Regions from separate parts of the Mus musculus genome. Here regions 2 and 3 are each reported to be linked to region 1. The links are microRNA targets in miRTarBase. Many come from high-throughput screens and were not tested one by one. Region 1 holds a microRNA gene; each other region holds the end of a gene's coding sequence. Distances are from middle to middle.

Region 1 (6,008 bases):
CAGGCTCGTGACCCTCCCACCACTGAGGGTTAGGCCTCCTGGACTGGGGTTTCCCGGGAAGACATCGTGAAGAGACAGTTGGCACTTTGTCCTTTCCTGTATCCATTGGCTGCCTTCCTGCAGACCCAGAGACTCTTGGGTGAATTTAATGTAGAGGCCAAGACTTAGACCAGCATCCTCTGGCAAGCAAGGACTGACCCACAGAAGTTTGCTGTTGCCCTTGGCCTACCCCACCCCCTAACAAAGTTTGCGACACAAGTGTGCTTCTGCCTGTTTCCTCCGGTGACACTGGATTTGGGTCGCGTACCCTCCACTGAGTTGGGGATCAAGTGCTTTGCCAAGTCTGTCTGCCCCAGGCCCTATTTCCTTCTTCCCTGTCTGTCCTCTTTTGCTGACTTCCTCTTCCTTACCCAGAGGGCCCTTGCTTCCTGGGAACTCACCCCGGGGAGGAGGTTGAGAGGATGGGGCCTGTCTGCTGGTCTTCCTGGTCTTTGGCAGTTGGCCTAGGTGGGTAGACTTGTAGGAGGGACTGGTTAGGAGCCTGGTGCTCTGAAGTCTCTGTGGCTAATAAACACAAATGTTCGTTTTCTCAAGGTTTTGGACTCTTCTCTGCTCACGGGGAAAGGAGTGTGAAAAGTCTTGGGGTAGGGCCTTCAGAATGGAATGAACCAGGATCTGGTGTGCAGGACATCAGTGGTTCTCCTATGCCAGCGTGGGCAGGCCACACGTGAGACGCATCCAGCAGGGGCAACCTCACTTTCTCCAGAAGCCTGCAGGGTCCTCTCTAGGTCAGGAGACAGCTAGCCAGTGAGTGGAACCAGAACCCAGTGGCTTCTTTCTGGAAGGAAGGGGCTTTCAGCGAGAAGGCTGGCAGGAACATCCCTGAGCTGCTGAGCCGTGCTGAGCTGCCAAGGGATGCTCAACCTGAGAAAACCCTCACTCTTGGTCACCAGGCAACAGAGGAGCGGCTGGAGGATGGAGTTCTTAGAGCAAGAGGGACTTGGGAGAGAACAGCCCAGAGTGGTGGCCTTGCCTGTGATCCCAGCCGACCCTGGACAGGCCAGTCTTGCTTCTGTGCCTCAGTGGAGAGCTAGGTGGTATAGTCTTTTGGGGTTGGGACCTTGTATTCTGGAAGTTTTGAAGTAATCTGTATCCCAGTGCCCGGGCCCCGCAGAGCAGCCAACCGTGGATGCTGTGGCTGATGCTGTGGCCGCACATCTGTCCACTCCCCGTTTAGTTTTCCCCAGTGTAGTGGAGCAGCAGGGACCCCTGGGTTCACAAAGGGTGATCTGGGGGATGGCTTGATTGTCCCCCACGGGGGTGGGGGTGGGGCGTGTCTTGGTGATGTTTCCTCCCTGCAGGCTGCCTTGGCTCCAGTCCTCAGAAACAGGAAACATAGGAAGGGGTGGTGGTGACAGGTTGATGATGGTTTTATTTTAAGCATTAAAGAAGAGATTTCCCCTGGGTTGTTGACAAACATGTGGGTCAGCATAGCTGTGTGTTTACCATCAACCCCCAACGTCCAGGGTGGTTTAGAGAAAGAAGGGGAAACTGAGGACACTGCTTCCCACCCCATCTGGAGATGGGTACAGGAGGGCAGTGACCTGGCATACCCTGAAAAGGAGCGGGGTTGGGGAGAGATCCAGGCCAGCCACCCTGCCCCTCTAGATACCCTGCTGGCCTTGGGTCACAGTCTCTTTCTGACTTGTGACCCTCAGTACCCCAGCCACCCAGAAGGGTAGGTGAGCTGGCTGCACTTGGCATGTGAAGAAATGAGGGTTCTGGCAGGGTATTGGTGGCACACACCTACATCCCAGCAGCGGGGAGGCAGAGGCAGATGGACCTCTGTGAACTGGAGGCCAGCCTGGTCTACAGAGCTAGTTCCAGGGCTATTCAAAGAAACCCTGTCTTGAAAAACAAAACAGAAAGATATTAAGGTTTTGGTTTCAGGAACAATAGTGAACCCCAGTTCCTGGAGGAGGGGTTATTTCTGGCCACACCTCTCATCAGATATGTGAGGTGATGTTTGGAGAGGTAGGTGTGGGGTCTGAGAGCAGGAAGTGGAACATGGAGTGGTGGTAAGTTATGGGCAGGATGGTCTTCCAGACACTCTGAAGTAGTCTGCCCCACCCTGGAGCTTCTTCCTCTTCGTGAACTTAAGCTCTCTTCCTTATCAGCTAAGTACCCACTGGGTACCCCTATTAGACATGGTCCTCATCCCAGTGTTCAGGGAGAACAGTTAACCTGATGGAGGAGTCTAAAGCAGAAGGGACATCAGCCCTAAATGTAGAGCTGTGCTTTTCCGTAGCCGAGGACTCTGGAGGCCATTACTGGAAGTGGTGGTGGGCTGGGCCAGGTTTGATTTCTCCCCCAGGTGCTGCCTGGTCTTGGGAAAGTTCTCAGGCTTCTGAGAATTTGCAGGAGCAGAAGGCTGTGAGGTTCCCCTCTTCCTGGCAGCCCTAAGATCTGGGGAGCCAGCTCTTCCATTGTTCTGCCTCCCCCGTGGTGTGAGAATCAGGAGTCTAAGCTCAGGCGCTTCTGCTGCTGTTGTTCAGCTCTACGGAGACCCGACCTGGCAGCTGCTGCCCTGGCTGCCGGGGGCTCCCAGCCAGCCTGGCCCCAGCTGCCGGCTTGCCTAATTAAGGCAGAGACCTGTTTTCTGTTCCTCCCTACTAGCTGACCATACACAAAGGAGCTTGGGAGACTGTGGTTTGGTGATCCATTTCAGTGCTAGAGGTGTAAAAAGCGCCCCCCCCAGCCTCAGTTTACCTTCTGGCAGACAGTAGAGTGCTAGCTGAAGGGGCTGTCTCTGGTGAAATTTTTTTTATTTTTTTATTTTTTTTTTTGCTAACAAGGCATCCCAGGACATCCGGGGCAGACTTCCCCATCTGTCCTGTGCCCTGGGTGCTGGGGAGCACAGAGTAGTGAGGAGTTAGGCTGTTGTCCCCTGAACTCTGAGTCCCCAGAGCGCAGTGGGGACATAGGCTAGAGCATAGTGACAGCTACCCCTGCATGCACAGAGGTGTGTGGTATATCCAGGTGTGGGCAGAGCAACCCTACTAGTTTGGTTTTTGTTTTTTTGGTTTTGTTGTTTTTAGATTATCGTATTTTTTAAATATGAATGTTCTGCTTGCATGTGTGCCTGGTGACTGTGGAGGTCAGAAGAGGGCACTGGGTCCCCTGGAACTGGAATTAGGGATGGATTATGCGGATGCTGGAAATCAAACCCTGGCCCTCTGAAAGAGCAGCAAGCAAACTGCTGGGTCCTCATTCCAGGCCCCCAGCTAGGTTTTTAGCAATAGTGTGTGTTTCAAATAACACCCAAAGTGGCCTGTCTTCCCTGGCTCGTTATTAGAAAAAAACTTGAAAGGTGAAGAAATTATCCAGTGAATACTTAGCCACCCCTGAATGCACTTTAATGTCTCACTGCATTTGTTCTGTTGGGAGTCCATCTGCCCACCCGTCTATCTCTCTCCATTGTAGCAACACTTCTTATAAAGCTTTTCAAAGTAAAATGTGCACACCAACACACCTCCTTCCAGGGTATGATATAACATTATTGTATGTGATGCGTGTGTGTACACATGTCTATACAGGTGCCCTTTTCTGCACATGTACATGTGCCAGCCAGAGGGCCACATCTGTTGCCTGCCTTTGTTACCCTTCATCGTAGTTTTTGAGGAACGGTTTCTGGCTGAAGCTGGAATTCTCTATGTTCAGGTGTGCTAGCTAGCCAGCAAGCCCCTGGGAGCCACCTGTGTGTGTTCCTGCAGTACTGGGGCTGCAGATGTTCACTGGCACGCTCAGTGTCTGTCCCTGACCATCTGCGTGTCACTGCAGTGGACATACAGAGCTGACCTTAGGTCCTCATGCTTGTGCAGCAAACACTTCACTCACTGAGCCATGACTCCAGCCCCATGTATTTATTATTATTATTATTATTATTATTATTTATTATTAAACTATGAAACACACACAGCTCTTTAAAGGCCATCACTTGCTCATCACTTGCTGAGTGATCACTGTGCCCCAGCCCTATTTCCATCATGTGGGAAGTCCCCTTGTTATCCCCTCCCAACGTGCTCCCACCTGCAGCTCCTCCTTACATCTGTATGGGTTAAACAGCCCAATGAAAACATTCAGTCCCTTCCAGATGCTTTCCTCCAAAGCAACCACATTCAGCTCTTTGTTTTTGTTTTTGTTTTTTCCAGGTACCTGCCTCGGTATTTCTAAGGAGCCCCCCCACCCTGGGTTAATTTTGGACAAATAGTGATTGGTTTTGCCATCTATTGTCTTCATAGAGAGTGCAACAGCCTGCTGGCCTGCCCCAGTTCCTCCCTTCCCCTCACTGGTCATGTGGTCAGTTTTCATTTGTAAGCAGTCATGAGCTTTCAGGTGATTGAGTTGTTGGGAGGACTTGCACACAGGTGCTTAGCATGATGCACACATGTGCTTAGAATGATACACGTATGTGCTTAGCGTGATGCATGAGCCCGGGTTCAAACTTCCTTTTGATTGATATCAAGGAAGTTAGCCTTTATTCACCTACTCTTCTAACTTGATGTGAACCACAATTTTTCATTGCACAATATTTCTGTCACAACTCTACAAATACTGTCTCACATCCCTTTGCATCTCATGTCTCCTCTGCATGTCCTCTCTTGTACCGATCATTGTTTTTCCACGGGTCGCTGTTTGCTTTGCTTTTTTTGTTTGCTTGGTGCCTCCTAACCCGGCCATAGTTCCCTCAGTTTCCCCAGAGTGGTACGACAGACAGTGGTTCATTTATTGGTTTTAGTTTCCCTTGAGGGGGAAAGTTTCTCTTCCCAGGTGCTTTTGAATAAACCCCCGTCCTTTACATTGAAGCCACTTAAAAAAAAAAAGTCCTAGATCTGTAGAAAAATTGTAAGAGAAGCGAGCCCTGAGGACCCATAGTGCGCTGGAAGCAAGGGTCCTGTGGTGGAAGCCTAGAGAAAAGGTGGGTTTGGACCTGGAGCTGGACCTTGGCACACGGAGCTGTCGGGGAGCCTTGAGCCCATTCTGTCAGGCAGCCTGGACTACATCCTCACGGTCAAAGTCTTGACCAAAGGCTTGACCAGGGTCACGACCTTGACCCTGTTTCTCCTCCACACTCCATGCTACCTCCCTAGTATTCCAGGAGTGCAGCACACATTTCTCTCCAGCGCCTTTGTACCTGCTGCCTTCTTACCAAGGCTGGAGACCCACACGATTCATTTTCTCCTTTATCCTATGTCTGGGTTACCTCCTCAGGGAGCTCTGTCCTGTTACCTGAAGCCCACACATAACCAGCAGCAGTGGTGGTCTCTGTGCCACCTGCTGTAGTTTACCCGGGATGTGGGATGTGTTACGTGGAGGTTGTGCGCTGTCAGTCTCACTAGAACTCCGCCTCCCCAATCCAGCAGGAGGCAGGGAGTTAGTTCTCTTTGCTCTGTTGTCCCCAGCTTGGCCGGAGGATAAATGACAGAGTGAGTGGGTTCAGGTTCTAGCCCGGTGACAGTCTTTCTTCTTCCTGTTCTATCTTTCCCCATTTGTATCATAAAGCCAGAGAGCAACCCCGGACTGGCAAACTTAGCCCCCGGCTGTGAGGAGCGAAGTCTGTGGGAGGGCAGAGTTGGCCTTCTGCCTGGCCCCTGAGGTTTGAAAATAGCGCAGCATGACCCCTAATGAGGCCCCTATCCTCTTACCGTGTCCTGCTGGAGCCGGGTTTCTGTCTGGAGCCTCCTGCCTGGCGCTGGGCTGAAGTCTGCGGAGCTGTAACACCTGACAGCTGGTCCCACGTTTTGAAGCTCTGACTGGCAGGCTGGTCTCCTTCCCACCTAACCTTCCCTCCATGTCCATGGGGGTGGGATAATCCCTTAATCCTACAGTTTGAAAAGCTTGCTCTCAGCCTGGGATCTGATTCCACTCCTAGGCAGTGGCTGCTTAGCTGGTGAAGACACAAGTTTAGATAGGATGGCGGCCATATGACTGAGTGGGCATTCTGGGGC
Region 2 (6,008 bases), 29 Mb from region 1:
CCTGAGTCTGAGTCCCCAGAACTAGTTAGTGTAAAGGCAAGCACAGGAGTGGGCTTCTGTTACCTGAGTCTGAATCCTCAGAACTAGTTAGTGTAAAGGCAAGCACAGGAGCGGGCTTCTGTTACCCCTAGGCTTCTACGGTGAGATGGGAGGCAATGGGAGAATTCTTGTTTTATCTGGCTCAGTAGCAAACCACAAAACCATCCTGGAACACGTCACTGGTGAAGACTAACACCCGATGTTGTCCTCTGACTTCCACATACATACACACACACATCATACATACATACATAACAAAAGAGACAAGTAAATGGTCTTATTAAGTACAAAAAAAATCTACCAATTGCTGATCATAAAATTTGAAAAAGTACAGAAAAGAACTCTCCCTCACAATTTCTATCCTCACAGTTAGCTGAGGTTACTTTACTATAGGCTTGTGTAGCCTGCTAGTGACTTGCCTTAGCCCACCAGCTTCTCTCTAAATTCTAAATTCTCTCTCTTTCTTTGTGTTTCTCATAAAGAGCTTGATCTCATAAGCAGTTTCTGCAGGAAGAAGTCTCCAGAGATGAAACTCATGCCCCTTGTAGGTGTAGTACTTGCTGGCTGCGCATTATCTAGAGTGTTCAATGGCTACATACCAAGAATATCTTGCAGCAATGCTCTTGACCTTAGATTGCTTTATGATTCCCAGAAAGGGTGTCAGACAAAGAATATGCTCTTTGTCTCTAGGTACATAGCTGCAGAAGGTCTAGGCCTTCCCATTTTGCAATTAAGCCAAGCCAGCTGCTCTTTGCTGTAGCCTTCGTAGCCACAGTAAATGAGGACTGGTCTCTGGCCAGCTGACTCTGGCCTTTGATCACCCTACAGACTCTGATGAGAAAGCCCTGCCTATTTTGGAGCTGGTGGACTTTGCATCACAGGTTGCTGAGGGCATGTGCTACCTGGAATCTCAGAATTACATCCACCGTGACCTGGCTGCAAGGAACGTTCTTGTTACAGAGAACAATCTCTGCAAAGTGGGGGACTTTGGGCTTGCCAGGCTTGTCAAGGTAGGTCCCTTGGAGGTAGGAGACAGAAGCAGGAGGTGGGGCTTTATCTCCCAAGCCTTGAGCTGAACCTAGCCATAAGCAAGATGGGTTCCTGATAGGGTGGCGTTAATAGGCAAGCAAGATGGCTTTATCTATACAGCCACAGCCTTGTTCATACCCTACTGATCTAGCTTTGAGAACCTAGACAGACATAGCCATGTACCTAGAGATTTTCCTGTATTCATGCATTGTAACTCTGCTCTTGTCTTTCCCTGACCCAGAATTCTAGTGAATTGGCATATTTACTGGGCCTAGCCATGATTCTGGCAGCATTGGTGGTAGCTACCCATGGTAGCAGTGGGGTGGTGTTAGTGGGTCAGACAGCAATAGGCAATGTGGTTGTCCCTGCTCACCAGGACCTTGGAGTCCATGCTTGTCAGTGCTACACAAGAAGGGTACAAGTGGCAGCTCTCTCTAGTGTCAGGTCCTACCATAAGACATCTTACCACAGGAGGACATCTACCTTTCCCATGAGCACAATGTCCCCTACAAATGGACAGCACCTGAGGCACTTTCCCGAGGGCATTACTCCATCAAGTCTGATGTCTGGTCTTTTGGAGTTCTTCTTCATGAAATTTTCAGCAGGGGGCAGATGCCCTACCCAGGTATTGCCCCAAGAATGTCTCCAGGGGTGGACAAATAGTGAGCTAGAGTCAGGGCAGGTCTTGAATGGGTGACAGAGATGACAGGAGGTGTTTCCCAGGGCCTCAACCAGACCCCACCCCTGTTTCATTCCTCGAGCATCTGGGAGCATGCTTTTGGGATCATTTCTGGGAGACACCATCCACAGGGAAGGGAACATCCATGGACAGTGTGCTACAACATGTCCAGGGCATGATGGTGGTCATTCTAGCAGGGGTCAGCATTCAGGGAGGAGCCAAAGGAAGCTGGGTGTGGCTTCCAGGGATCAGTCTCCTAGCTCTCATTTCTCTTCTCCCATGGGCCACAGGCATGTCCAATCATGAAACCTTCCTGAGGGTGGATGCCGGCTACCGCATGCCCTGCCCTCTGGAGTGCCCACCCAACATACACAAGCTGATGCTCAGCTGCTGGAGCAGAGACCCCAAGCAGAGACCTTGCTTCAAAGACCTGTGTGAGAAACTCACAGGTATCACCAGGTATGAGAACCTGGTCTGAGCTCCTTGGACGTGGCCAGGACCCACAGAAGAGGGCCTCGTGATTATCCTGGACTTCTATTGAAGGCATGAACCATCCTTCAGTTTACTGAGATGAAGGGATAGGAAACATACCAAACATACCTCAAATACTGCGTTTTGTCAAGGAAAGAGTAAAGAGGCTCCTTTCCCTTTTTTGGGGGGGGGGGGTTTCGAGACAGGGTTTCTCTGTATAGCCCTGGCTCTCCTGGAACTCACTTTGTAGAGGAGGCTGGCCTCAAACTCAGAAATCTGCCTGCCTCTGCCTCCCAAGTGCTGGGATCAAAGGCGTGCGCAACCCGGCTTCCTTTCCCTCCTCCAGGAGGCAATACACAAAATCCAGAAAGTCACTCTCTGGCTTCTTCCTCCCTTCTCCTGTGAAGACTTCATGTGACAGAGAAGCCAAGAAGAGTCTAGGCAACAGGCCTTGTGGAGTTCTTTTCATACCACTTTTGGAGCTTGACTGTCCACAAACACATACCCTACCCTTTAGCACCTTAATTCTGCAGGATCTTATGCCACATACAACCCAGAACAAGTTTACATGATTTTCTCTTTATAACCTTGGTTTTGTTGGAGGATCCTCACCTAGAAAGTTGAAGACAGAGATAAATGGATATGAAATTTCTGCTTTGTGGTTTCCGGTGCCCAGTGGGGAGTGAGTGCTTGAGATACCCAATCACCTGGGGTCCGCAGAAGCAGAGGGAAGACGATGGAGTCAGTAAGAGCCAGGAGATTTTCTTGTTTGCTTTTTCCAAGACAGGTTTTCTCTATGTAGCTCTGGCTGTCCAGGAAGTCATTCTGTAGACCGGGATGGCATTAAATTCACAGAGATCCACCTGCCTCTGCTTCCCAAGTGCTGGGATTAAAGGCATGTGCTACTGTTGTTGCCTGGCAGAGCCAGGATTCTTAACCATGTGGGCAGAGGCAGCTCTTCTGCATCTCTGCCCGAGGCTCTGCACTTGTTTCTAAAGTCAAACTCGGTCTGAGCTTGTGAGTCTGGTGTTTACTTTCAGAGCTCCGTGTCCTTTCCCTTCAGAGATGCTTTTGCCCTGGGTTCCTGAGGCAGGATACCCTTATATCCTGTGCCATCCTCTGATTCCCATTTGGACCCGAGTTTTCCAAGATGGCTCTGGTCCAAGGCTGCTCTCCCTCATGTGTCTTCAGTGCTTTTGAACCCATACTTGACCCATAAAGGCTAGACAGGCTATCTGTTCTCCATTTCATCTCCTTATGTACTTGGAGATTAGAACCCCAGTTCTGAGGGGGAGTATCCCAAAAGCACGTACCCGAGGCTACCTGACTGGAAGTGGGCATAATTCTCTGATGACATGTCTACAGCCACGTCCAGATTGCCCTCTCACAACAGGTGAAGATGCCGCAACCTTCCTTACAGAAACATCCTCTCTGTATCCTAGAGATGACACTTTCTGTACTGCTTCCTGTAAAGCAGCTCTCTGGGATGTAACGTCGTCACTAGATAGGGAGAGCACAGGAAAATGTTTGGAAACAGGGCAAATGAAAACCTTTGAATAAAGTCTTTTGCATAGACATTCATCAAAAATTTCCCCTCTCTCAGTAACTGAACCTTTCATTTTCACCAAGAACAGAATTTGGACTGGGCTTGGTGGTGCACATCTTTAATCCTAGCACTTGAGAGACAGAGGTAGGCAGATCTCTGTGAGTTCCAGGCCAGCCTGGTCTATGTAGCAAATTTCAGGGCAGCCAGAGCTACACAGGGAGACCCTGTTTCATAAAAACAAAAATAAATAAAAAAGAACAAAATTTGTATAAAAATCCAAGTGGACATAAACTGAATCAGGACTAAACGTTCTAAAATTAAAGCTATAGGGACCGTGTACATTTGGCTGTTTGTAGAGTCCTTCCCCCAGTTATAGAGGGGACAACCCTGGTACACTTCTTTAATCCCAGCACTTGTGAAGCAGATTCAGGTATATCTGTGTGTTTGGGAGCAGCCTGGTCTACAGAGTTCTAACATGCAAAGAGTGACCCTGTCTCAAAAACAAGGAAACAACAAAATAAAAAAAAAAAAACAAAAAAAAAATCTCTTACAGTTCTGTTTGGACTGGTCTAGAGATGAGTGCTCATTAAATATCCCTAAAATCTCTCAGAAATATAGAAACAAAGTCAAATGTTCTTAAAGATCACATGATCTAGAATAATGTAAAATAAAAAACAGGAATGTTTCCAGACCTGTCCAACATGAACACAGTATAGCTAGACCAGTTGTTCTCACCTTCCTAATTCTGCGACCCTTTAATGCAGTTCCTCATATTGTGGTGACATCTAACCATAAAATTACTTTTGTTGCTACTCCGTAACTGTAATTTTGCTACTGTTATGAATTATGAATATTTTTGGAGATAGAATTCCCTTTTGTCAAAGAGGTTACAACCCAAAGGTTGAGAGCTACTGAGATAGACTTTTTTTTTCTTACCAGGGTTTAAACAAGTTTCATTCTACTGAGTATTTAAAATGCTAAAAGGAGAAATGAAACCCAAGGGTAGAATAGAGGAAGGGACGAAGGGGATGGTCTTGCTTTTGTGGTGTTGGTGACATTTGCCTGACTTGTTAACAAGAGCAATTTTAGTGCTGATACCTTGTAACACGCCTGTAACTGTTGAGTGGACAGAAATGTAAGTGGAGTGAAAGCTAAATGAACTCCTCAACAGTAATTTTAATTTATAAAAAGCATCCCACAACCTTAAGTTTGTTCAGGCTTGAGAGATGTAGTTAACAAATCAGCTTTGGGGTCATTCCTAAGGAAACAAGCTTAGGCTGATCTGCTATGGCCTCCTGTTTTTACACAGAATGGAGGTAGTTGTGCTTGGGTCTATAGTATGCAGAGCTGTGCAATGAAGGGCATCCTACTACAGTGCCCACAAAGGTTTTCTTCAGTGGCATGTTGGCTACCATAGCTCGTGGGTGCTAGGGACTCTAAGAGTTAAGAATAACAACATATGTAATTAGAACCACTAGAAATAACAAGGAAAACCACCTACGTGCAAAGCGTTCAGGGAAACTCCATTTGTGGTAAGGTTATACATTATCATTTAGAGAGAATAGTCACTGAAGGCTAACATAGGACTTGTTCTAAATTATGAAAAAGAAAAATAGGGAGAGAAAGCTGATGGATCATTATTGTTTTGTTTTCTGAGACAGGGTTTCTCTGTGCAGCCCTGGTCATCCTGGAACTAGCTCTATAGCCCAGGCTGGCCATAAACTCGGAGATCCACCTGCCTGTGCCTCTGCCTCCTAGTGCGGAGACTAAAGGTATACATCCCCACATGCAGCTTGTTGATGGATGCTTTTTCAAAGTGCCTTCCAAAGGTCTGGTGGAATGGAATCTTATCTCATATAGTCAAAGGTAAGGACTGAAAGGATTTAAGAGTTCTTTTAAATAGCTCAGAGGCTGGGACTGCAGCTCAGTTGGCAGAGCACTTTCCTAACACACGTGACATCTTGAGTTTCATCCCCAACAGTGCATACACCAGGTTTGGTGATGCATACCCAAGTTCCTATTATTTAGGAGGTAGAAAGAGGAGAATCAAAAGTTCAAGGGCATTTTCACCACAAAAGATTCAAGACCAACTTGTGTAACTGTGGGCTTTTCTTCCTGACCACTTTGTTCCCAGAAATAATGAGACTCTGGGGGGCTGGTGAGATGGCTCAGCGGGTAAGAGCACCCGACTGCTCTTCCGAAGGTCAGGAGTTCAAATCCCAGCAACCACATGGTGGCTCACAA
Region 3 (6,008 bases), not on the chromosome of region 1:
TATGTGTACACTGCAGCTGTCTTCAGACACACACTGGAAGAGGGCATCGGATTCCATTACAGATGGTTGTGAGCCACCATGTGGTTGCTGGGAATTGAACTCAGGGTCTCTGGCAGAGCAGTCAATGCTCTTAACCACTGAGCCATCTCTCCAGCCCTTGCTTTTCGTTTCTTTTCCTTCTTTTTAATCATCCAGTTGTTTATTTTATTTTATTACTTAGCCCCCGCTGGCCTTAAAATCACCACGTGGCTCTGGATGACCCTGAACACTGATGCTCTTGTATCCGCTTCCTGGTTGCTCCAGGTTACAGGCTCGTACCATCAGAACCCTGCACTGGTTAAGCACTCTGTCAGCTGAATGCCAGCCCCAGCCCTTAGTACTGTTTGAGAACCTATATATTCGCTTATGACACTGTACCTCTTAGAAACACAGATGAGTAATAGACACGCTTTTCAGATGCCCAGTGGAGCGCCAGAATAGAAGCAGGATGAACATCCCATTTCGCATTGGCAACGCCAAAGGAGACGAAGCTTTGGAAAAGCGGTTTCTTGACAAGGCGGTAGAACTCAACATGATCTCCTTGAAGGGGCACAGGTAAGCACACCTTGTCCCCAGGCCTGTCAGAGGCAGAAAGAATAAAACCCAGGACCTTACACGGCCTGGGGTAGTGGTTATAGACTTGCTGGAGAATAAGCCGCTTCTGGCTGGGTTGCGGTGCATTTTGCACGGGGGTTTCATCAACACTGAAGGTGCCCCTGGTAGGGCTGCCTGCTTCACTCTGGTGTTAACAGACCATCACTGGGCTCAGTTGAACATCAGATACTGTGACCAGGAGACCAGCAGCAGAGTGCTCTATGTGGTTAGAACTGTTGCATAGTGTAGTGAGTGGCATGGCCCCAAACCCAGTCACCCTCCTCCTCTGAGTCCCCTTCCTCCTATTTGGTTTCTTCTTTATCAAAGGTGAATAGTTTGGGTGTGATCAAAGTCCAGTGTATGCATCTCTGGAAATGCCACAGTGAAACCCATTAATTTGTACAAATAACAAGCCAATGAATGAGACTAAAAACTAGATTGAGGTAATTCAGTGGGTAGATGATCTTCACCGTACAAGGGATTTCCTAATGACTGAAGCTTCATGCTGCCTGCTGGGGATGCTTTCGGGTGCAAACTTGAGCACCCGGGCTGGGAGCTGCCGCTCTCCGGAGGGGTAGCTAGTGAAGGGTGTGTTGTGCTCAAGCAGACGCCTTTTGCATTGCACGTTTTTCTATGTTGTTGAGGTTCAAACCTGGAGCCCTACGTATGTGAGGGCTTTAACCCAGATTTGCTCTCTTCCATTTTCTTGGTCTCACTGGACGGGCCTCTGTTGTTCTAGGTCAGTGGGAGGCATTCGTGCCTCTCTGTATAACGCTGTCACAACCGAAGACGTTGAGAAGCTGGCGGCCTTCATGAAGAATTTCTTGGAGATGCATCAGCTGTGAACATGACCAGCCACGCTCTGCCTGTGAGCAGCACGCAGCGTCGTTTAGAGTAACTTGGGATTGACTACAGAAACTTAACAGACATGGATTTTTTTTTCCCAAATACATGCTTATTACAGATTCCTTTCTCAAAGAATAACGACTAAACATCAGGGCACTGCAGAGCTGAGGAAACTCCCAGCTAACAGCCACCTTCATTCTCATGTGACCTGGAAGCATTTTGAAAGCTTTCTTTCCTGTTGCTCTTCTAAATGAATTCAGCCTGTCAGCCATCTTTGCTGCCCCCTTCTCTAGGTGGACTGCCTTGGGCTTTGCCCTGCTGGTTCCAACTGGTTATTATTAGGAGGTTGGAGGCCCTGTGGGCTGGATTGACAGCAGTGAGTTTGCTGGGTTCTGCAGCAGTTGGTTCAAGTCAACAGCGACTCACGAGCGTTTTGGATCTGTGTACTGCAATTCCCATAAAGAGATAGGTGTGTTATGCTGTGTTTATGTAGTGGGTATTGTTTTAAACACCGTACGGTTTATGCCTATGCCTTTATATTTCTAATGAAACAGTTTTGTTCAGCCCATGACTTTGTGCATGACTGTCGTCCGTTCTAGTCACCTGTGCTCTCCATCTACTGCCTTTTAAAGCTGCGTCATGAGAAGGATCTACACGTTCCACCATGACTCTCGTTTCTTGCCACAAGTAGAAGAAATGGTTGATTCTTTGCTTTTCGGTTAGGCCGTTAAACAAAACTCAGTCACACCCCTGCCTTCCACCCTCAAACTGTGATCACGTGGCTGTTCTTGTAGTTTAACCAGGGCAACACTATATATTCCAGGTCTATACATTGCTGAGGTCTTTTTCTGGTTGTTCATGTATCAGTGTTTTCAATCGACTGCATGGAAAACATTAAAGTCCTAAGTCATCTAAGCCATTCATTGCCTGTGAATTATTCTGCTTGCTTTTTTAGTCAGGTGCTGCTTTTAAACATTCTGATGGGGAGCCTAGGGTTTAAAATTAGCCTGTGATAGGGTAGTGTAGTCTAGACAAAGGTGTCAGGCTTCGTTCTTGTGCAACTCAGTGTGGTTGCTTGCCTTTTACTTTGGAACAAACACTGTCAGCAGAGTCCCTTCCAGCACAGCTCCCAGGGAAGAGTTTTGTGAACTCTGTCCCAGTTAGCCCAGAAAAAAAAGGCAGCAGAACAGCTTTGCGCTCATCCTGTTGCATTCGATTGCACAAGGGGAAGACACTGATTGCTTGGTTTCTCCGGTCAGGTTCCACCAGCTCATTGGTGAAGAGTTGAAATAAGACCCAACATTGCAGGATGTTTGCATTTAAAACAAGCTCTTACTTTGTATGCCCCAGTACAGGGGAACACCAGGGCCAAAAGGTGGAGTGGGTGGGTAGGGGAGTGGGGGTGGGTGGGTATGGGGGACTTTTGGTATAGCATTGGAAATGTAAATGAGCTAAATACCTAATAAAAAATGGAAAAAAACAAAAAAACAAAAAAACAAGCTCTTTTCCTCTGTCAATGCCAAGAGCCCAGTTTGATCATTCTGGGTCACAAACAGCACTAGTGCTCAGAGTTAAGCCCCCTTTCCACGTGTGTGTGAACCCCCATTTTCTCTATTTTAACCCTTCATGGCACAGCCAGTCTTGCTGTGGAAACCCTGGGATCGTTTCAGCATCTCGTCTCTGTTCCTTCCGCTCCTCTCGCCACAGCCGCTGGGACTGACTTCCTCTCTGCTCAGTGTGTGGATGCTCGAGTGACCCAGGCTTCTTAGTGTGGCTGTCAGTGCTTGCCGTCATCTGCCTGGCTTCCTGTCTCTTGTGCTAACGAGTGTTCCTGTTACTTGTTTGCCCATACCACACTAAGCAGACCAGCCTTCTCTTCCTAGAGATCTGCTAGTCTCTGCTTTCTGTTCTCTTTCCTGCTCTTTTCCTTGTTCTGCAGAGGTTTGTTTTTTATTCGCAGGACCATTTCTCTTTGTGATGCTGGGGTGGCTGCTTGTCTGTCCTGCACTTAGATGCTCAGACTGCCTAATGAACATAGAGCACGGTTTCTTCGTATTGCAAACAGCTTGGGGCAGTAAAGGCAGAATGCAGTCTCAGCACATGGATTGGATCAAATATCAGAAGCTTAGTGTACAGTGCAATTCATCTGCTGAACGACTGACTGCGATTCTCTGATCCAGAGGGGAGATTGCAAGAATCATCTTTACCGTTTGAAAGCTTTTGGAGGTAGCCAGTTGTCTGTCTCGCATGGTAGACTCTGGAGCACAGATCTTAGAAAACAACCAGAGCATAAAATGTGACCTTTGTTTGCTGTAAGAGATCAGCTGAGGCCAGTCTGTTGGGCGGGCGCAGGGAGCGTGGGGGGGGTGGGGGGGGGTGCTAGGGATGCAGCAGCTGACTAGGCTTTGGGGTGCGAACCTGCTGGCCTGTCCCTGAAGGTTTAGAAGCAGGACATCAGAGGAGACTTTGGGGCCCCTGTGAGGCTAGGTGAAGGACTGCCTCTTGTTCTATGGGATCTTCTAAACTGATTCTGAAGTTTTATTTTTCTCTTTCAAAGTTCTTTACCCACATATGTGTCCTGATGTCATCTCAGTGGGGGGCAGGGGGAAGCTTCGTGTATGTTCTGTTTAAGCTGCATTAAATAGGAGTCTTTTCTATCAAATACTATAGAGCCTGCGATGATGACGAAGAATTAAATCTTTTCATGTGTCCCACTTCATAAGAATTTTTATGCAAATCCCCCATACCTCAACCCAGTAAAATCAGTAAAACCTTGGTTTACACAAAAGCCCTGCTACATTCTCAACTTAAAGTGACTGGTCGTGTCATCCCCCGCCCCCCCCTCCTCCGGTTTCCTGTACACCAGTTCTTTTCAGACTGGCCAACTGAATAAGAGTGAATAAAGTTCAACCTCAGCCAGTGGGAAGAGACACAGTCACCACCTAAGTTAAAATGAAAATCGAGTGCACTTCCTCTGCTTACCTTCTGAGCACATACCCCTAGAAGGCGGTAAGTTATGCCTGGTCTGTTCCTTGGTCAGGCTCCTTGGTCTCTTTCTTTGTGATCCCAACACCCATGTACTCACTTTCCACATCATGGTGACTCCAGTACTGCAGTTAAAGAAAAGTCTTTGCACAAGAAGGCATTGAAATCTGTCCCTAGCTCTTCCTTTCCCTGTTAGATTCCTGTTATTGGGAGACACAGCCAGTGTCTTGTCATCACCCTGTGACCCTGGTGCTAGGAGACTTGGCATGCACTTGTGTGAGCTGAGGGAGTGATTTTCCCCCTCTCTTTAGTGCTGAAACAACCAATAAGACCATAAAGACAGACAAGCAGTGTCGAGAGCTCACTGTGCTACAGCTCTCTATACCCAAATAGGGCAAAATGGCAACCAACAGATTGGGAGATCTTTACCAATCCTACATCTGATAGAGGGCTAGTGTAGTGGCTATTCCTGGTTGACAACTTGACTATATTTGGAATGAACTACAATCCAGAATTGGAAGGCTCACCAGTGATCCTAATCTGGAGGCTGGGAGATAAGAAGTTTCTGATCTGGATCTTGGTATGGAGATCTTGAGGCACAGTGGCTATAGATTCCAGAAGATTAAGACAGGGAGATCTCCGAGTTCAAGGTCATCTGGGATTAAAGGTGTGTTCCACCTTTAATCTGGGCTACACCTTCTGCTGGAGACCATATAAGGACATTGGAAGAAGGGAGTCTCTCGCTCCTTCGCCTGCTTGCTGTGTGGGACTGAGTAACTGCTAGATCCTTGGACTTCCATTCACAGCTACTACTGAACCATTGTTGGGAATTGGACTGCAGACTGTAAGTCATCAATAAATTCCTTTACTATATAGAGACTATCCATAAGTTCTGTGACTCTAGAGAACCCTGACTAATATAGCTAGTATCCAATATATACAAAGAACTCAAGAAGTTAGACTCCAGAGGACCCTGTTAAAAAATGGGGAACAGAGCTAAATAGAATTCTCAACTGAGGAAACTCAAATGGCCGAGAAGCACCTAAAGAAATGTTCAACATCCTTAGTCATAAGGGAAATGCAAATCAAAACAACCCTGAGATTCCACCTCACACCAGTAGGAAGGGCTGAGTTAAAAAACTCAGGTGACAACAGATGCTGGCAAGGATGTGGAGAAAGAGGAACACTCCTCCATTGCTGGTGGGATTGCAAGCTGGTACAACCACTCTGGAAATCAGTCTGGCAGTTCCTCAGAAAAATGGACATAGTACTACCGGAAGATCCAGCAATACCTCTCCTGGGCATATACCCAGAAGATGTTCCAACTGGCAATAAGGACACATGCTCCACTATGTTCATAGCATACTTATTTATAATAGCCAGAAGCTGGAAAGAACCCAGATGTCCCTGAACAGAGGAATGGATACAGAAAATGTGGTACATTTACACAATGGAGTACTACTTAGCTATTAAAAGCAATGAATTTATGAAATTCTTAGGCAAATGGATGGATCTGGAGGATATCATCCTGAGTGAGGTAACCC

The links. Region 1 holds the annotated microRNA mmu-miR-1953 (UGGGAAAGUUCUCAGGCUUCUG, at 2,389-2,410, shown strand). A microRNA usually pairs through its seed, bases 2 to 8, with sites in the 3' UTR of a target mRNA and lowers its output. Matches are read on the target gene's strand: a 7mer-m8 pairs with bases 2 to 8, a 7mer-A1 pairs with bases 2 to 7 and ends in A, and an 8mer does both.
Region 2: the mRNA of Ptk6 is a reported target of mmu-miR-1953. Seed matches in the 3' UTR shown: 7mer-m8 at 2,389-2,395 and 7mer-m8 at 2,550-2,556.
Region 3: the mRNA of Psat1 is a reported target of mmu-miR-1953. Seed matches in the 3' UTR shown: 7mer-A1 at 1,573-1,579.

Annotation. Positions count from the first base shown.
Region 1 is chr2:151,963,983-151,969,990 of GRCm38, reverse strand. Mir1953 (microRNA 1953) reads left to right here and starts at 2,374; the gene lies at 2,374-2,462. It overlaps Fam110a (family with sequence similarity 110, member A), which reads left to right. Exons shown (of 2, transcript NM_146127.3): 2 at 1-595. The coding sequence ends at 33.
Region 2 is chr2:181,191,986-181,197,993 of GRCm38, reverse strand. It overlaps Ptk6 (PTK6 protein tyrosine kinase 6), which reads left to right. Exons shown (of 8, transcript NM_009184.2): 6 at 868-1,049; 7 at 1,540-1,693; 8 at 2,038-2,870. The coding sequence ends at 2,225. Among named protein-coding and RNA genes, the nearest start is that of Ppdpf, 7.7 kb to the right of the region's middle.
Region 3 is chr19:15,901,516-15,907,523 of GRCm38, reverse strand. Psat1 (phosphoserine aminotransferase 1) reads left to right here. Exons shown (of 9, transcript NM_177420.2): 8 at 457-594; 9 at 1,373-2,401. The coding sequence ends at 1,478. Among named protein-coding and RNA genes, the nearest start is that of Psat1, 21 kb to the left of the region's middle.